Linked DNA regions of Arabidopsis thaliana. The protein of the gene in region 3 interacts with the protein of the main gene of each other region in a pairwise test. Each region holds a gene or a part of one and is shown on either strand. Other genes may lie near its edges. The genes, in order: AT5G15240, VAMP711, AT4G18220 and NIP7;1.

Evidence for each region.
Region 1: the proteins of AT4G18220 (region 3) and AT5G15240 interact in a protein complementation assay, tested with the Arabidopsis thaliana proteins (one large-scale study listed by BioGRID).
Region 2: the proteins of AT4G18220 (region 3) and VAMP711 interact in a protein complementation assay, tested with the Arabidopsis thaliana proteins (one large-scale study listed by BioGRID).
Region 4: the proteins of AT4G18220 (region 3) and NIP7;1 interact in a protein complementation assay, tested with the Arabidopsis thaliana proteins (one large-scale study listed by BioGRID).

Annotation. Positions count from the first base shown.
Region 1 is NC_003076.8:4,945,761-4,950,957, reverse strand, and holds AT5G15240 (Transmembrane amino acid transporter family protein), read right to left. Parts: upstream 3,382-5,197; 5' UTR 3,197-3,381; coding exon 3,055-3,196; intron 2,384-3,054; exon of another isoform or gene 1,963-2,383; coding exon 1,352-1,962; intron 1,266-1,351; coding exon 747-1,265; 3' UTR 548-746; downstream 1-547. Other genes in the region: FTSH6 (FTSH protease 6), read left to right, coding at 1-126, 200-547; GASA4 (GAST1 protein homolog 4), read right to left, coding at 4,933-5,114.
Region 2 is NC_003075.7:15,525,472-15,529,563, reverse strand, and holds VAMP711 (vesicle-associated membrane protein 711), read left to right. Parts: upstream 1-1,637; 5' UTR 1,638-1,912; coding exon 1,913-2,129; intron 2,130-2,391; coding exon 2,392-2,582; intron 2,583-2,701; coding exon 2,702-2,865; intron 2,866-3,069; coding exon 3,070-3,157; 3' UTR 3,158-3,585; downstream 3,586-4,092. Other genes in the region: AT4G32160 (Phox (PX) domain-containing protein), read right to left, coding at 1-5, 416-508. UniProt on the Arabidopsis thaliana protein: Involved in the targeting and/or fusion of transport vesicles to their target membrane.
Region 3 is NC_003075.7:10,076,759-10,080,916, reverse strand, and holds AT4G18220 (Drug/metabolite transporter superfamily protein), read right to left. Parts: upstream 2,280-4,158; 5' UTR 2,190-2,279; coding exon of another isoform or gene 2,150-2,189; coding exon 2,119-2,149; coding exon of another isoform or gene 2,073-2,118; intron 1,950-2,072; coding exon 808-1,949; 3' UTR 555-807; downstream 1-554. Other genes in the region: AT4G18230 (UDP-N-acetylglucosamine transferase subunit ALG14-like protein), read left to right, coding at 1-42, 220-396; PUP10 (purine permease 10), read right to left, coding at 3,422-4,158.
Region 4 is NC_003074.8:1,840,614-1,844,997, reverse strand, and holds NIP7;1 (NOD26-like intrinsic protein 7;1), read left to right. Parts: upstream 1-1,801; 5' UTR 1,802-2,063; coding exon 2,064-2,204; intron 2,205-2,286; exon of another isoform or gene 2,287-2,380; coding exon 2,381-2,605; intron 2,606-2,702; exon of another isoform or gene 2,703-2,718; coding exon of another isoform or gene 2,719-2,841; coding exon 2,842-3,039; intron 3,040-3,246; coding exon 3,247-3,308; intron 3,309-3,408; coding exon 3,409-3,610; 3' UTR 3,611-3,830; downstream 3,831-4,384. Other genes in the region: MKP2 (MAPK phosphatase 2), read right to left, coding at 421-577, 941-1,061, 1,145-1,280, 1,392-1,481; AT3G06090 (uncharacterized protein), read right to left, coding at 3,986-4,225. UniProt on the Arabidopsis thaliana protein: Aquaporins facilitate the transport of water and small neutral solutes across cell membranes.

The DNA.
Region 1 (5,197 bases), on a different chromosome or scaffold from region 3:
CAATTGTTCGCTAGAATCGTCGGAGGACTCGGAGGCAGAGCCGCCGAAGATGTAATTTTTGGAGAACCGGAGATAACCACCGGCGCTGCCGGTGATCTCCAGCAAGTCACTGAGATAGCAAGACAGGTACAGTAATTGAAACAAAATTTTCATAAACCGGAAAAAAACGGTGGATTTTCTAATTATTCTTATGGTTCAGATGGTGACGATGTTTGGTATGTCGGAAATCGGTCCATGGGCACTAACCGACCCAGCGGTTAAGCAAAACGATGTGGTTCTACGGATGCTAGCGAGGAACTCAATGTCCGAGAAACTTGCGGAGGATATTGATTCTTGCGTGAAGAAAATAATCGGTGACGCTTACGAGGTTGCGAAAAAGCACGTGAGGAATAATAGAGAAGCTATAGACAAGCTTGTTGATGTTTTGTTGGAGAAAGAAACCTTAACGGGAGACGAGTTTCGAGCAATTCTGTCTGAGTATACTGATCAACCGTTAAATACCGATGGCGATGTAAGAATTCGAATCAATGACTTGATTAGTGTCTAATACAGACACCTAGATCAACTCATGTCTTCATTTAACGTATTCACATTTTTCTCATTCCAAATTATTACATAACTCAAAAAAACTTCGTTAACGAAAGTCACAAAAAATCAAATAAAACAAATTATGGTATTGGACTGTTGGTAGTACAAATATCTTCCTAAACAAATACTCTATAAGCTAAACTTCACCTATTGGGATTTCAAAATCGACCAAAAATGTCCTTGACCGCTTGGTAAGTTCCGGTTATCACAACCACGATACCGGTTAGAGTGATTCCGATGAGCACCAATGTTTCGAATCCGAGTCTTTGATATTTCCCAGAGATCTTTAAGTAACATAAACATGGCAATATAACCGATGCGGATGCGCTCAAGAATGCTCCCACAAGACTCATAAGATCACCAAAAAACGGAAGAAGCAATGCCACAATCACATTGCTAGTAACTAGTATTGTACTTAGCAAAAATCCAGAAGCTCTTTTATTAGGCAAAACTCGAGAAAACCGGCTTCTCATTGCGTCAATAATAGGTGTAACCATGAGAGCAAACTTAGCTATTGGGTTGACCAATGTAGTCCATATCGCCACTTTTGAACTAAGCTTATCAGTAGGAAGATTCAAAGTGATCTGTGATTCAACATCTGATCCATACATTAAGTAACCCAATACCGCCACTGATGCATATATGAAGGTGCATATTGTGAAACATATAATCATAACCTGAAAATGTTAAAAAAAATATGCAAAATTATTAGTGTGAGTTTTGGTCAAGAATAACCTAATGATCCGTTATGTAAAAAACTTACGTTTGAGAATTGGCGTTTGTTCTTCATGGAAGTGTATAGAGTTGGGAAAACTGGATGAGCGCAATAACAAAACGCGTATAAGCTCACCGAAGTAGCGACTCCATTAAGTCGAAAGACCTCTGAGTCATTGTTCTTGAACCCTACGCCTTCAAAAGCTCCAACCGAAAAGATAGAAGCAAGAATAACCCCGGAAGCAAAGACACCACTCGCGGAAACATAAGAAAGAATCCTCATATTGTCTAACCAAACCGAAGGAAGAATAATGAGAGCCACCATGATGATGAACATTTGCTTGCCTTGGAATTCAAGCCCCATGAAGTTGAGTCCAACGTTTGAGAAGAGTTTGTTAAGGTTGTCACCTTCTAGGATCAAGAAACTAGTTGCAACTAGGTAAAGCTCGAGGTTCATGAAGATGGAGACGATAACACGTCCTGTGTTTCCAAAGGCTTTGTAGCCAATGTCCGGGTATGATCTAAGAAGTGGATCCATTTCCATACATCTCTTAATGAGAATGGCACAGTAGAAAGTTGTGATCGCTACGGTGAAAAGTATGATCAAACTTAGCCATCCTCCGGATGCTAAGGCATAAGGGACCGATAATATACCCACACCTAAAAAAAAAAGAGTTGATCAGAAGAATGTCCAAGCCTAACGCATATGCTAATTAACGTTTTTTGTGTTAACTATTTACAAACGTTCTTTTTGTATATATGAAAACGCAAACGCAGTTTTTAATTGAAAACACAAACGCAAAGAAATATTCGTGGTCTCGTTACCAATAAGATAATATGATTTGATTTTATCAAAGTGGTTTGTAGTCTTGTAGAAGAAGAAGAACACAAATTGAAAAGGGAAGACGTGTTGTTAATGTGTTAAGGTTTTGTTCAGTGACACGTTGTATTTATATCTGAAAGATAATTGGAATTGCTGGTTTCTTTCTATTTAATTATATGGACTGTTTTTTGTTCGTATATGGTCTAGTTTGGTCTAGTTTGGTCAGACGTGTTTCCAGTATATAATTAGTTTTTTTAGTATAAACTAAGTATCTAGTTTGGTATATAAACAATTAAGTACAACGATAGCGGCCAGTTTGATAAACCCATTATTAGGCCATTACCACATTTAGCGAATAAATAATAGCAATAGTCATTGAAAACTTTGCCGAATTGTTAATACTATAGTGTTAAATTCAGTTAAACGGAACCATCCTAACCTTTAATAGTCAGAACAAAAATGATTTGGTTATTTAGCACTATTGTTTATCAAAGACTATGAAACTGAATCTAGACGAAGAAAAACACAATTCAGTCTAAGTAGAACTGGTTTTAACTTGGTTATGATAAATTATCAACAGAAAAATTAAATAACTAAAAAAACTGAGGCAAGACTAGGAGGTAAAGAAACAAAATGTAGGATTGAAATACACACCAATCTAGATGATACAAGATAAAGTCAAAAGCTTGAGTTAAAAACATGCATCTATAGAAATTAAGTACAATAAAGCTAATTATAGTTTTTTCTAGATTATTTTGAAAATTAAGATATATCCTATCCATATATGTGGACATGCTAAGAGTTGGATCTTTCCCCGTGAGTTATGGAGTTTGGAGATAAGAAGAAGTGGTGAATAAATCAAAAAGAAAAAATCAATCACGAAAATGAAAATAGAAAAAAAAAAAAAGAAGAAGAAGAGGAAATTAAACCTGATAAGGCGTTAATGCCATGGAAACAAGTCTTGGAGAAAGAAGTATTGCCCTGTGGATTATAATCATCAAGCAATGATTCTTCATCATCAATCTTCTTAACGATAAATGGCTCCGACATGTAATCTTTGTCCTCGCTCATACTTGTTTAGTCTTTGACTCTGCTCTTTGGATATCGAAGAGACAAAGAGAGAGAGACGGAGAGATCGAGAGACGAAGGAAATAGATAGAGAGAAGTTGGAACTTGGAAGTAAACAATAAAGAAACCCTCAAAAGGCAATATATATAGTGTTAATACATTTACTAGGGTCAATGTTTTTAAATTACATCAATTATTAGAGCTGATTTTTATGCAGTATCCATGCACATATGATATCTACACGATATTAGCGTGGCAGTGGAATTCTATTTAATGTTTATTGACCAATTAAATATTCGTGGATGGGGTTTTTAGAAACTAATTGAAATTTAAGTGCAACTCTTTATATAGAAAAAAATTATAACCACTTACACACAAATCTACCATAATTTGCGATTTGTGTGGTTCTAGAATTTAATGTTAGTTGTATAAGAAAATTGGTAGGAAGAGAGAAAATAAAACTCCACGAAGTTTTCCACTTTAATGTTAGGGCGTTTAACTTAGGTGATAGAGAGAATGCAAGTACCAAATCCTCTTTCGGTGAAGACTGAAGAGGGATCAAATTTTCATAAAAATACATGGTCCAAAGTAGTATATCATGTCAATAATCTGTTGGACGAGACTGGAGCACTTGAAAAATCGTCACATATTTTTTTGTTGTCGTTTGTTAAAAATAGTTGACAAGTGAATCCCCAGACCTAAAGAGTAGATAAGTATGAATAGCCTTGATCTGACGTAAATCAATATCTTGACGCTAGTTTACAGTTATGTTCTACAAGGTGCCGAGTAGTTCTAACAATAATGAAAATATCGACATATATATCTATATATTTTCGTTACTATTAAAACCATACTGCAAATTTTTTACAGTTATCCAATATGTTTTCATTCAGAAATCGAAACCAAAAACTTTTATAGGTTACAAAATGAGTTCTTTAGAAAAGAAGAATACTCATTGCCGGCCATTTCCCCATGTTGTGCTTGTGAAAAAATAGCATGCACATGTTGATAAAAAAAAAAAGTATCTTCTTCAAGATCACCATTCAAAATGCATGTGAGATGTCTAACAAAGAGAGCTAAATTGAGCTTTGTTGTTAATGCTAATAACTATAGTTGTACTCCAAACCTCATATTTCTTGTCGATTAATGTCAATATATAAGGCATTATTAAGAGTATTTATTGATACGTAGGGTAATGAACGGGTAAAACGTTTATAAGTTTGTGGTTCATATCATTGCACCGATTGTAAAATATCGTTGTCGTTATTTATTTCCAACTGCCCAAAGCCCAAGTCTTGTATAAAAGAAGATTGCGGCAAAAAGCAATCGCGTTAGAACACGTGATTTTGTAAAAAGCTTGGAAAAATCAATAATGGGCTTTTTAGTACTGGGCCGAGAGACCCAATGTCACTCTTTTCTACATATGCATACTTCTTTCGCAGGAATTTTTTAAATTGTATTATTTGGTTTGCCTTACCCTTTATAGTATTACTATTTTCGAAATGGAAAATATCTTTTTTTTTGGTGGATGAATGGGAAAATATCTTTAGAAACACAAGTATTCATGAAAAATATCATTCATAGGGCCACTCTCATTTTTTTTAGGATTTAGAACAAAATCCGAAAAGGAGTGACATAACATTACAACATTAGGAATAAAGTAGATAAAACATTGATCAAAGGAAATTTAGTTATAGTTGAAAATTTTTATTATAAAAAGGGAACGAAGGGAGATTTTTTCAAGGGCATTTTGGTCCACCCTCTTGAGTTTTCCAGTTGTTGTAGCAGGAGCAAACTTGTTTGTTCCCATAGTAACCCGGAGGCACACAGAGACACTTCCTGCAGCATTTGTTGCAGAACGTAATGCAAGCCTTGTGGTACTGTGTCTTTTTACACCTCCTATCACATTCCGATGGGCATTCTGGTTGTTTCAAATACAAACAATATCAAAATGTTAACACTCAAAAATTTTTTATTACTAATAAAAACAACAGAATCTAGTGG
Region 2 (4,092 bases), 5.4 Mb from region 3:
CCATTCTGCAGAAATAAACATAAATATCTCAAAATCTCCAACTTGTACATATATGGAATTCAATCGAGTAGAATGATACTTTATAGTCTGGAGCTATCCAAAGCTGCATAAATAAAGATTTAGCTACCCCTGATGTTAAACAAAAGATAAACTAACAATTCAATAGAGGGCAACAACAGAATTCACCAATTGTAGGAAATGACTTCTAATGCCTTATGTGGTGAGTCTACCATTGGACTTGCTGGTAACTACACTAGCTATCCCCATAGCTTGGGACTAATAACAAAGACATCCACATTTATCTCAAGTCCCATTAGAATAAAGCAGGCAACTGAAGAATTCTAGCACGGCACTTCCAAAAGGTAACGTGGTAAAGTCCAATAAAGTTCGAATTTTTGGCAACAAAAGAACTCACCCATTTGCGCGGTGGAGGACTCCAATCCATTCCTAATGGAAGCGGCGATGTTCCGTCATGCCTGTGCTTGGGCGGACTCCGTCTCTGCATCATCTCCACCAAACTTTACCTAAGTCTCTCTCTATCTCCAGCTCTCCGGAATCCGAATTTGATATTCCGATCAGAATCAATCGGAGACACGATCGAGTACTAATATCCCGATCGAGAAACCACAAATTACGAAATCTGAGCAAAAGATGATGGAAGAGTAAGCAGAGCGTAGGGTTTATGAAGATCGTCGTGAGATCGAGGAGAGAGAGAGAGGACACAGATGGAGGCAAAAGAAGGACCAGATGGCGTCTCTCAGGGTCTTCTCTGCCTCTGGGTTGAATTCCCACAGACCACGGTGATTAACGGCGGTGTTGTGACGTTTACTTTAACGGAAAAGCCGAGAAGAAACAACACGTGATTTGACGGAGGCGCGAAGCTTACCGTGTATATATGTGTATATGTCCCACTTTTTCCCGTGAGATTCGGTTTGGGTCGTGAACCACGTCTTGGTTTAGAGTTGGGAATTGGGATTTTATATCTGTTGTACATTTTGTAAGGCTTATCTCTGGCTATGTTTGGTTTAGGCTCAGCTCATTGGATGTCATTTTCATTTTTCTGCCTTTAATTTTCCTTTTTTTTTTTTGTCTTTGGCTAAAGTTAGTATATTATTCACTCATATCTTATTCAAACTCGAAACCCAATTTTGACCCAAATCGTTTCAAACCAGAAGGAAATAGACCGCTTTTTGGTTTTGTTTGGTACGTCACTACCACACTAAAAAAAAAAAAACTGATTTAATGATGATTTGAACACATCCCTACATTTTATCCTTCATATTCGTAAAAATTTACACTTTAAAATCACATCTTCTTCCACGGATAAATTACAATTATTCGATCTTTTTGCTCAGATTTCTCTATTTGTTTGAAACTGATAGAATTTGTTTGTTTTCTTTGTATTTCTTATAAGTTTGATATCAAACTAATTTAGCGTTAACCATTAATAATCCTTATAAAACAATTCACGGTACAATATTTTCGAAACTGAAGCAAATTGTTTTCTTTTCATATTTATATTTTTTACTTATTAGAACTAAATTAGTTCCGACAAAACAAAAAGAACTAACTTAGTTTTGCCCGTGATATTTTGACAAAATTTCATTTTGATCCTTATAATAATACAGTATTTTAAAAATAAATCAACGTAGCTATCCGAAATTAAATATTTGTAATCAGCGGAGGCGAAAAGGTCTCCAGCTCCAGCTAAACTCCAAGAGGAGAGAGAGAGAAAGAGATTCAATTATATGCAGAGAGAAAAAGAAGCCAATTGGTTCTCTCTCTCTCTCTCTCTCTCTCTGATTGATTGATCCAGCGATTCGTCTGGCTGGCTCGGTTTCCGCGGGAAAACCTTCTTCTTCGTTGACCTTACACGAGTTTTGTTGATTCGGCAGGGGGATCGACGACGGAGATGGCGATTCTGTACGCCCTCGTGGCTCGTGGCACGGTGGTTCTTTCTGAGTTCACCGCCACCTCTACGAATGCGAGCACCATCGCCAAACAGATCCTCGAGAAGGTCCCTGGAGACAACGACAGCAACGTCTCCTACTCTCAGGATCGTTACGTCTTCCACGTTAAACGCACCGATGGCCTCACCGTTCTCTGTATGGCCGAAGAAACCGCCGGAAGTACGTCCTCCCCTTTCTTTTACTTCTATGGCTAATTTTGAGGAAGTTTCCAACTTTGGTGACAGTGGAATTCAAAAGTCTAATCCTTTTTTGCTCTGAACGATCGCTCTGTTATTGAATTCGAGACCTTTGGTCTTATATTGTGATGTGAATGAATTTGATTTTTTTGGACATAACATCAACACAATTATATCCGAGAAGCTGTGCATTAGAGAGATGTGAATGTCTTTCTAACTCAAAAGTCAAAACTTTTTTATGTCAGGGAGAATTCCTTTTGCCTTTTTGGAGGATATTCACCAGAGATTCGTACGGACTTATGGCAGGGCTGTTCATACAGCACTAGCTTATGCAATGAATGAGGAATTCTCTAGAGTTCTCAGTCAGCAGATTGACTATTACTCTAATGATCCTAATGCCGATAGGATTAATCGTATTAAGGGTGAAATGAATCAGGTTTGATGAGTTTGTCTTACAAGTTCAGTCGGATTGTGAAGTTGTTTAGAGACATGGTTCTGAGTCTTGGCTTCACTGTTTGACAATACATCCTGGTTTTTCTTTTTGGTTTTGGATAGGTGCGGGGTGTCATGATAGAAAACATTGACAAAGTCCTAGATAGAGGTGAACGTTTGGAGCTTCTTGTCGATAAAACCGCCAATATGCAGGGGAATACATTCCGGTTCAGAAAGCAAGCTCGTCGTTTTAGAAGCAACGTCTGGTGGAGAAACTGCAAGCTCACGTATGTTTCCTAAAACCTTAGTAAACAATTTTCAGTATTATGATTGCAAGACTGTATACTAAAACTAGTTTTTGGCCTAAGAACACATTTAACTATAGCAAAAAGTACTTTAATCACCCCAAGTTCCACATTTGTAATGTCAAGTGAGAATTTTTTAAGAATCGAACATAGTTCCTAATTCCTAACCCTTTTTGTCTCTTGCAGGGTCCTCTTAATACTACTACTACTGGTGATCATATACATTGCAGTGGCCTTTCTCTGCCACGGACCTACTCTACCATCTTGCATTTAAGTGCATCTGTCTCTTAAGGAATCCATCCCGATTCTGCGCGTTGCCACGACTTTTTATCTCCTCATCTGATTGTAAACCTTGTGTTTTCCTGAGCATTTTCATGTGGCTTAAAAAGCTTATGTTTCCAACTCACGTATATGAAAAAGTATACTTATTTATAGAGCAATGTAAAAGCTCATTGCTTTGCGAAGTGTGTGAATCTTTGTTGACATCATGTTCTATAAATTACATACATAGTGGAAAAGTGAACAGGCTTGCTTTGTCTGATATGTTCATACAACTCTTTGAATCTTCATGTTCTTTGTTTATGTGACTTCCTCTCTCGTATATCCACACCAACTTCTGAAGTCGGCAGTTGAATGATCTTGTACGTCGTTGACCCTACAAATTCTTGTCATTTTACAATTGAAGCCATTTGTTGATCATAAATCGAATGTAAATATTAGAAAAGAAAGATAGGAGAACAAGATACAACAAGTGTCATAAATTGTCGTCCGAAAATAAAATATGGGTATCATCTCTAGTTAAGGCCAGACGCACCTCATTCACCAACTTGACATCTTGTCATGCCACCTAATAATAGCTAAATAAATTATAGTAGGTGGATTTAACCTTTTATTTATATAATAGCAGCATTTCAAATATAAAATTTTGTTTTTATCAACACCATGTTTACTAACTAAAAGGATGGAATTTATATCCATATATGATCAAAATACTAAAATGTTTGGTTGAACCAAAAAAAATAAAAAGCGTCGACTTTACGGTTTAAATATCGTTACAGAAAAAGAAGAAAAGAAAAGACGGCTACATCACGCTTACTAAAAATTCTACAGTCCAATTAAAGTCATAACAAAATTAATACTATATATTTATTAAAAAAAACATGATTATTTACTTTCCTTACAAAAAAAAACAAAAGTGTAAATATTTCC
Region 3 (4,158 bases):
GGGACCTGTATTCCTCTGTGTGTGATCGCCTTTTTATTCAAGGTATACACACTTCGGAAATATTTTATCAAGATTCTTTGCAGTTCTTTCCTCTACATTTTGGATGACCTTGAATGGACTTGTGACCAAAAACAGAGGATGTGTTTTGTTTATTCTTAGTCATGGTTTCTCCATTACATCTAGAATTCCCATAAGTGCTTGTTTCATCTTGGGTTACAGGTGCTGGGAATTAGATGGTCATCAATCTTTTATGTTGAGAGTGTAGCAAGAGTGAAAAAGCTCTCATTAAGTGGATTGTTGCTTTACAAGTTGAGAATAGCTGATCAATTCTTTGTTCAATGGCCACAACTGCATAAGAAGTATCCTCGGGCTCACTATGTTGGGTGCCTGATGTAAGCTGATTGGAACTCTACTTACACCTAGATATATTACAAAAACTTAGAAAGCTACATAGTGTACACCTTCTCTTTATATGCAGGATTGAGTTTTAAACAATGAATTTTTGTAATCAGCTGTTTTGACTTTGTTAATGACTTAATGCTATTTCAGTGAGCTTATAATGTGATTTTGGTCATCTTATTCCAAACTAAACCAGAATCGTGCACAACATATATTTAAATAAAATATACTTCATGTTACAATGATGCACACATTTTCAGGCTGTGACTTCACTTGAGTCGCATCACAAATCTATTATGTTTATTTTTCATTGTAGGCTGCCTTCATACCAATAAAGAAAAGTAAGTTTACTTGATCAGCTCGCTTTAGTCTGTAAACTGTGTGTGCCACAATCTTTGAAGTAACAGCTTATTTTGATTGCTCACTTGACCCTTCTGCTTCTGGTCGGTCAGGGGATTCTGTTGTTGGTATTTCATTACTTTTCTTCAAGTTTGTTTCATCAAGATATTGTTGGTAGACATAGGATACGAAACCCCAAATAGCTAGAATCATAGAAATCACCTTTAAGCCGTTCATTTTGTCATGGAAAATGATGACAGCCAGGATAGGAACCACGGGGAGTCCCAAAGCGCTTATTGCATTTGAGAATAGGGAGGAAAGCTCGAAGATCAGTCCTGTGCAACCGATGGAGAATACCTGCCAGGTAACAGCTGTCCACACTAGGTTCATGACATAGGATACCTTCCCAAGTTTGTAGTTTTCCATTTCACTGCTCAAAGTTTTCCACTCGCTACTAGCAAAAAGCCCCACCACGCTAACACAACTGGCCACTAGACTCATGTAGATTATCATATTTATAACTTCTGAGAAAGTTTGCTTCTTTAAAACTTTACGAAAGGCTAGCTGTTGTAGGGATAAGAGTAGACCAAACCCAGCAGATGCACCAACGGTGCATACGAAACCTTTGACATACTCTCCTTTTGTAACTTTTTTGGAATCTGATTCCTCGTTATTAAATGCAAGGAGGGTGGAAGATATAGTGAGGAGGAAAAGAGAATTCAAAATGATAGGAGTAAGTTTTTGTGAGTTGAGTAAATAAGAGAAGAAAGCGGTGAAGGCTAACTGTGATGCACAGATCAGGGAAAGGGTAGAAACAGGTAGGTAAAGCAGTCCAATGGAATATAGGTAGCAAGCTGCTCCTACAAGAAGTCCAAGCACTATGTAAACTAATGCACGGTTCCTAAGTGAGGTTAATTTGCCATCTCTCTGAGTTGTTGTATGTGTTTTGACTGACAAGAGATGATATGGAAGTAGAATAGGAAAGCCTACAAGCTGAACTACCGTTGCTAGCCATTTGCTGTTTCCTCCATTTTCATAGTATAGTCTGCCCAGAATTGTAGCAACTGATTGGCCTGAAATGACAAAGAATGTATAGATAGCAACCCGGAGCCACCGTTTGTATGTATTAGAGTGAGATAGTTTTGTTTGGCTGCCACTGACCGAACTTCTTTCGTCTTGATCTGTTGGAATTGGTTCTTTTCCCTGCTGAACTGGTGAGTGATGGAAAATAACGCAAGAAATTAGATTATGACTTATTTGTTGTCACACATGAAAAATATTGATATATTGAATAATAAGATACCATAACCATATTTTTCGTCTTTTATTTGAAGATAAAAGACCAGTAGGTTCTCGAGGAACTGGTTTATGCTTACTCACCAATGACTTGTACTTCTTGATCCCCCTTCATAGTAGATGTGGAATCCCCCTCCTTCGAGATGGACAAGGAGGTACTAACAATGTTCTGAATAGATTCTAAGTATTAGGTATCTTATTATCAAATTGCTTGGTTACTAGTGCTACCAAGTGATTGCTTCTGTGATATGGGTGAGACACGCTGTAGCTATATATTTAGAGATTAGGAATCGGTCATCGTCTATGTTTTGATTGTACTTGTCCCCACATTCAGTAAATGCCAACTGTATATCTTCTCTTGCTGTGAATTTAATTTCTTTTGTCACTATTGTTGATCTAGAGATGAGTCGAGTCAAATCAAGAAGGAAATGATGTGTAGCCATTAGTCACTCAGTATTTTATACCTGTGTGACACATCAGCCATATGCATAGACACAAACTTAACACGCATGCACACAAGTTGTAAGATTGTATGACCGTCAGGATGTCTATTTTGAAAGTTATTCGTCTTCTTTAATTTCTTTGGCTTGTTCCGTCTGACTATCTTTCTCTTATGAGATCAGGCATGTGGATTAGAAACACATTTATGGAGATGATGTCTCGCTTCTCTTTTCAAAAGAAGACATTTGCACCACAATATTGGATGGCAGAGGAAGTCACTTTATTAACTGCTAAGATGGAGACTGCCAAATGGTATTATTTCTGGTCATTTACTTTTTGTACAAAGCTCTGTTTCACCAAGGATGTTTGGACCTGTCTGATTAATATTTCTTCTTTCTTCATTAGAAATGATTTTCTGTGTGTCCTTGTTTCACAATGTTTCAGGTAAAACTAGAAAGTGGAATAGTGCATTGAAATCTTTTTAAGTTATGGCTAAGGGTTAATTTTTATCAGGTGTCACACTCACAAAATTGACATGGTTTTTTATTAAATAAATATCTACTTTTATCAATCTGCCTACAGGTTCTTGTTACATACAGGGTTGAGTTACATTTAATCTTTAGCTGCTATGAACCCAAGTTTAAACGATGAACTTTTGTAATCAGCTGTTCTAAACTTAAGATTGTTGGTTCACTGAGATTACAATGTAATTTGGGTAATCGTAATTGAAACTAAACCAAAGTCATTCACTACTTATTTAAATGAAATCTACTTCCTGTTACAATGATGCAAAAAATTTCAAGCTGAGACTTTACATTAGTTGCATCAAAAATGTATTGTGTATTCTTCAATGTAGGATGCCTCCAGGCCGATAAGTAAAGTAAGTTTACTTAACTAGATTGATTGAGTCTGTAAACTGCGGGACAGCATCTTTCAAAATATCAGCTTATTTTGATTGCCAAGTTGACTCTTCTGCTTCTGGTGGGTCAGGGGATTCTGTTGTTGTGATTTCATGATTTTTCTTCAAGTTTTTGTCATCAAGATATTGTTGGTAGACATAGGAAGTGAAACCCCAAATAGCTAGGATCATAGAAATCACCTTTAACCCATTCATTTTGTCATGGAAAATGATTACAGCCAAGATAGGAACCACTGGGAGTCCCAAAACGCTTATTGCATTTGAGAATAGAGAGGAGAGCTCGAAGATCAGTCCTGTGCCACCGATGGAGAATACCTGCCAGGTAACAGCTGTCCACACTAGGTTCATAATGTAGGATACCTTCCCATGTTTGTAGTTATCCATTTCACTGCTCAAAGTTTTCCACTCACTGCTAGCAAAAAGCCCCACCACGCTAACACAACTGGCCACTAGACTCACGTAGATTATCATATCCATAACTTCTGAGAAATTTTGCTTCTTTAGGACTTTTAGAAAGGCTAGCTGTTGTAGGGATAAGACTAGACCATAACCAGCAGACGCAGCAACGGTGCATATGAAACCTTTGACATACTCTCCTTTTGTAACTTTTGTGGAGTCTGTCTCCTCATTATTGAATGCAAGTAGGGTGGAAGATATAGTTAGGAGGAAAAGAGAATTTAAAATGATAGGGGTAAGTTTTTGTGAGTTAAGAAAATAAGAGAAGAAAGCATTGAAGGCTAACTGAGATGCACAGATCAGGGAAT
Region 4 (4,384 bases), on a different chromosome or scaffold from region 3:
GTTCATGGTCTATCACGTTATATACAATATTGATCGACAAGGCAATGAAACAAGAAAAAAAAAAAAAAAAACTCACGTTCGATCAAGATATCGGTTAACATTCAATGCAAGGGTCGAAAACCAAACCAACCAATTTTCAGTCTGGTTTGGGTATGGGATTGGTTTGGTTAAATTCACACTGATCCTCCTAGAAAATATATTCATTGTAGTAACAGAGGAAATGTAAATTCTGCGTTTTCATTCATTTCAATTGGCTAATGGACATGGCAAAGTGCTCACCATCAATAGTTCACAAGAAAAAATCCTTCACAGCACGAAACCAATCAACTTTTTTGGCCAACATGGGGCTGAAGACACTTGCCGGAATTTCATGAGAGTTCATCATGCCACTATCTTGAATCTTCTTATCAGCTGAAGCAATCATGCATTACCTTGGATGGATTTTTCAAATTGCTGGAGCTGCGAAATGAAACCGGGATTAGGATATGCCTGATGTCGTCGGCTCCTTACAAGTTCCATAGCTTTAGAGAATCCCATTCCATGCTTTTTCATCAGGTAAGCCACCACTATAGTCACACTTCAAAGAAAAACTCAAACCAATCAAATTGTGTAAGTATATATATAACAGAACGACACAATAAGCAAATTACAGGTTCAAGAAAAACTCTTAATTTGTCCACAACAAAATGTAATCTGTTCACTACCATAACTCCTACTAATACCAGAATCAGCAAGCTATAAAAGAATCAAAGCAAACTACAAGATTCATATACACTTTTGCCAATCTGAGTCTCTGTAGTTTCCTATGGTTACTCAGTTGGCAATTTATATACACTTTTTTGATATGGTTACATAATTTGCAATTGGTTCACATTGATGATTCTTAAACACTAAATCTAATAACTGAATGTATGAGATTTAAGGGCAAAAGAATCAAAACCTCCTAGACATTCCCATGAAGCAATGAACCAAAACACCACCACCAGATTGAATAGCTTGGTCGATGAAGCTATAACACTCATCGAAATATACTGTCAAATCGGTCTCGGATCTATCAACCACTACACGATGAAGAACAAGTTTATAAAATCTCTAAACGAAAAATTTCAAAAACAGGCTAAGGATTGAAGAAAAAAAACCCAACCTTCAATGACTTTGTAGACAAAATCATCAGGATAAGGAGGAGCCAAGGCCACAGCAACGGTTAAGACATGAGTGATATTAGAGCTTTTGAGAAAATCCTTGTTATTCGCTTCAGCTACTGATCCTATGAACAATCCCTGAGAATAAACTCATCCAACAAACGATTTTTCGGAATTAAAGACTCCAAAACCTGAGAAATTCCAAGTGTGAAATTAGACGGATAGATAGAGAAGAGAAACGAAGAAAACCTGTTGGATCTCGCTGAGATCTTTGCCTCCTTCGAGTAGCTTCTGGGAATTAGCTTCTCCGACTCCGAAGAGATCAACCACTTTCTCCATCGCTCTCTGCTTCTTTTTTCAAAATTCCACTTGTACAGACGAAAACTCTTAATCAGAAAGATAAATAACCCTAGATTCGTAATTAATATTTAATAGTTTAGTTCGGATAGATGAATCAATAAGCACCAGTGGTCTAGTGGTAGAATAGAACCCTGCCACGGTACAGACCCGGGTTCGATTCCCGGCTGGTGCAACAATTTGTTTGTTTTTTTAAGTGAAAAGATTTAAGAGAGTCAACCTTTTTACACATGAAATGAAGATGATTAAAATAAATAGATGACTTAGAAATCACCAAATTAACATTAAGAAATATTGGTAGGTAGGAAGTGAAAATTGAACACAAGAAAAGTGTTGAGCACCCTCTTCTCCTTTCAGACTGCTTAACCAAAGGAATATAGCAGCACTCTACTAATTCTTCTTTTTGTTGAAATAAAATAATTACTCTTTAATTTCCATCTTCTTTGCGTTTTTCTCTCTATCTCTCTTTTTTTGTTCCATTAGATCATTCATAAAGCGGATCAAGCCACCTTGATTGTGACTTTCCTCAGTTCTTGATCACTATATCTTGAAGGAATTAAGAAGATGAATGGTGAGGCACGGTCAAGAGTAGTCGACCAAGAAGCTGGCTCAACTCCATCTACTTTGAGAGATGAAGATCATCCCTCGAGACAAAGGCTTTTCGGATGTCTCCCTTATGATATAGATCTCAATCCCCTACGCATTGTAAGCTTCATATATACACAAAATCATAGAATCAACAAGATTAATATCTCACAATACTTTTGTGTTAAACTAAAGAATTGGCTATGTCCATAATTACAAATAATTTTTTTGAAAATATTAAAATGTTTGTATAGAAATAAAATGCTAATTAATAGTATCTCCGGACTAATGTTTAGGTAATGGCGGAATTGGTGGGGACATTCATTCTAATGTTCAGTGTGTGTGGGGTCATAAGCAGTACCCAATTATCCGGCGGCCACGTGGGATTGCTAGAGTACGCCGTCACCGCTGGATTATCTGTGGTGGTCGTAGTTTACTCCATCGGACACATCTCTGGCGCCCATCTTAACCCTTCCATCACCATTGCTTTCGCTGTCTTTGGCGGATTCCCGTGGTCTCAGGTATAATGCATCCATCTCAACACGGCGTTTGACCAACTAAGAATTGTAGTTGAATTATCTTGGTCTTGATCGTTTGTTTTTGTTTATCTTAGCGTTTAGACCAAGATCAAATAATGTGTTTTTTTCATTTATCAACGAAGATGAGACGAGAAAACTTAATCTTTTGTTTGGACGTTTACAAATTATTTTTTATGAAAACTGAAAATTCTTTTTTGGAATGTTGTGTCACATGCCAGGTTCCGTTGTATATAACGGCGCAAACATTGGGGGCAACGGCGGCAACATTAGTTGGGGTGTCAGTGTACGGAGTAAACGCTGACATTATGGCAACAAAACCTGCTTTAAGCTGCGTTTCTGCATTTTTCGTTGAACTCATAGCTACGAGCATCGTCGTGTTTCTCGCCTCCGCGTTGCATTGTGGTCCTCATCAAAATGTAAGTGACCAAATCGATCTTCGTTACTCCTCTAGTCCGCTTGTTATAAAAAAATATCTTCTAATAAGAATAACACCTAAAATGTGACATTTACATGCTATTTCTTAATTATGAAATTTTATTTCTTTCCAAAGAGAAAATAAAAAAAATCAAACTCTCTGATTAGAAAACTTATATGCATTTAATTTTATATGTTATTTTGTGCAGTTGGGTAATTTGACGGGGTTCGTGATTGGAACAGTCATTTCCCTTGGAGTGCTTATTACCGGGTACTTAACTTAAAACTCCATTATCACCGTAAAGTATTGGAAAATAGTTATTTCATGTGATCGTATAATGCTAACGTTTTGTGGAATATGGTATGGTTAGACCGATTTCAGGAGGATCGATGAACCCAGCTCGATCACTTGGACCGGCGGTGGTGGCATGGGATTTTGAAGACTTATGGATTTACATGACAGCTCCGGTGATCGGAGCCATAATCGGAGTTTTGACATACAGATCAATTAGCCTAAAAACCAGGCCTTGCCCTTCTCCAGTTTCCCCTTCCGTTTCTTCACTTTTACGTTAATCACTTCAAAACCTAATATCTATTATACAAATAAACACTTTTGATTTTTTTTCTTGGTTAAGGTTTTTAAGTTTTTGTCATTACGTCATTAGATGCCGTGATGCGAAAACAGAGAGCTACTTATCGGATTGAAGATATAGAGGGTAAAGCAAATGAAAACAGGGGGCATTTTGTTCTTTTTACACAATGAAATGAACGCAATTAAAAATCTTTAGTCACATATATTTTATAGTGAAGCGAAATTCGTATGAATATTCAAATCCTTTCATTAGGTTATAAGAACCCACTAAAATACTCATATTACTAAACGATACCAACAAACATAAATTAGAGAAATGAAATTAAATATCTTAAATTATTACCCCAACTAAAAATTTAGTGGCCACAACCTCTACGACTTGGACCAGAAGCTAACTTTCGACCTGACCACAAATTCGCCTTCTTCTTCTTCTCCTCGTAGTTTCCAAACTCATTTCTTGAATCTTCTCCGACTACATTCATTCTCGTTGCCTTCTCTGCAACCCTGTTACAACCATGGTAACTAGCCATGGCAATGGAACAAGTTAAGTAAGCGACCAAGAGAAACACAACTTTAAGAAGCTTCTTCATCTTCATGTTCTTAGTGTCGACTACTACTTAAACTATAGATTCTCAACATTGATTCGTATTCGTGTATATATGCATGTTTATAGATTTTTGGTCTTTTGTTCTATGAGAGCTAATGCATAATTAGTTAAACGGTTCAAATGTTTATTGACTGAGTGAGTAAACAGT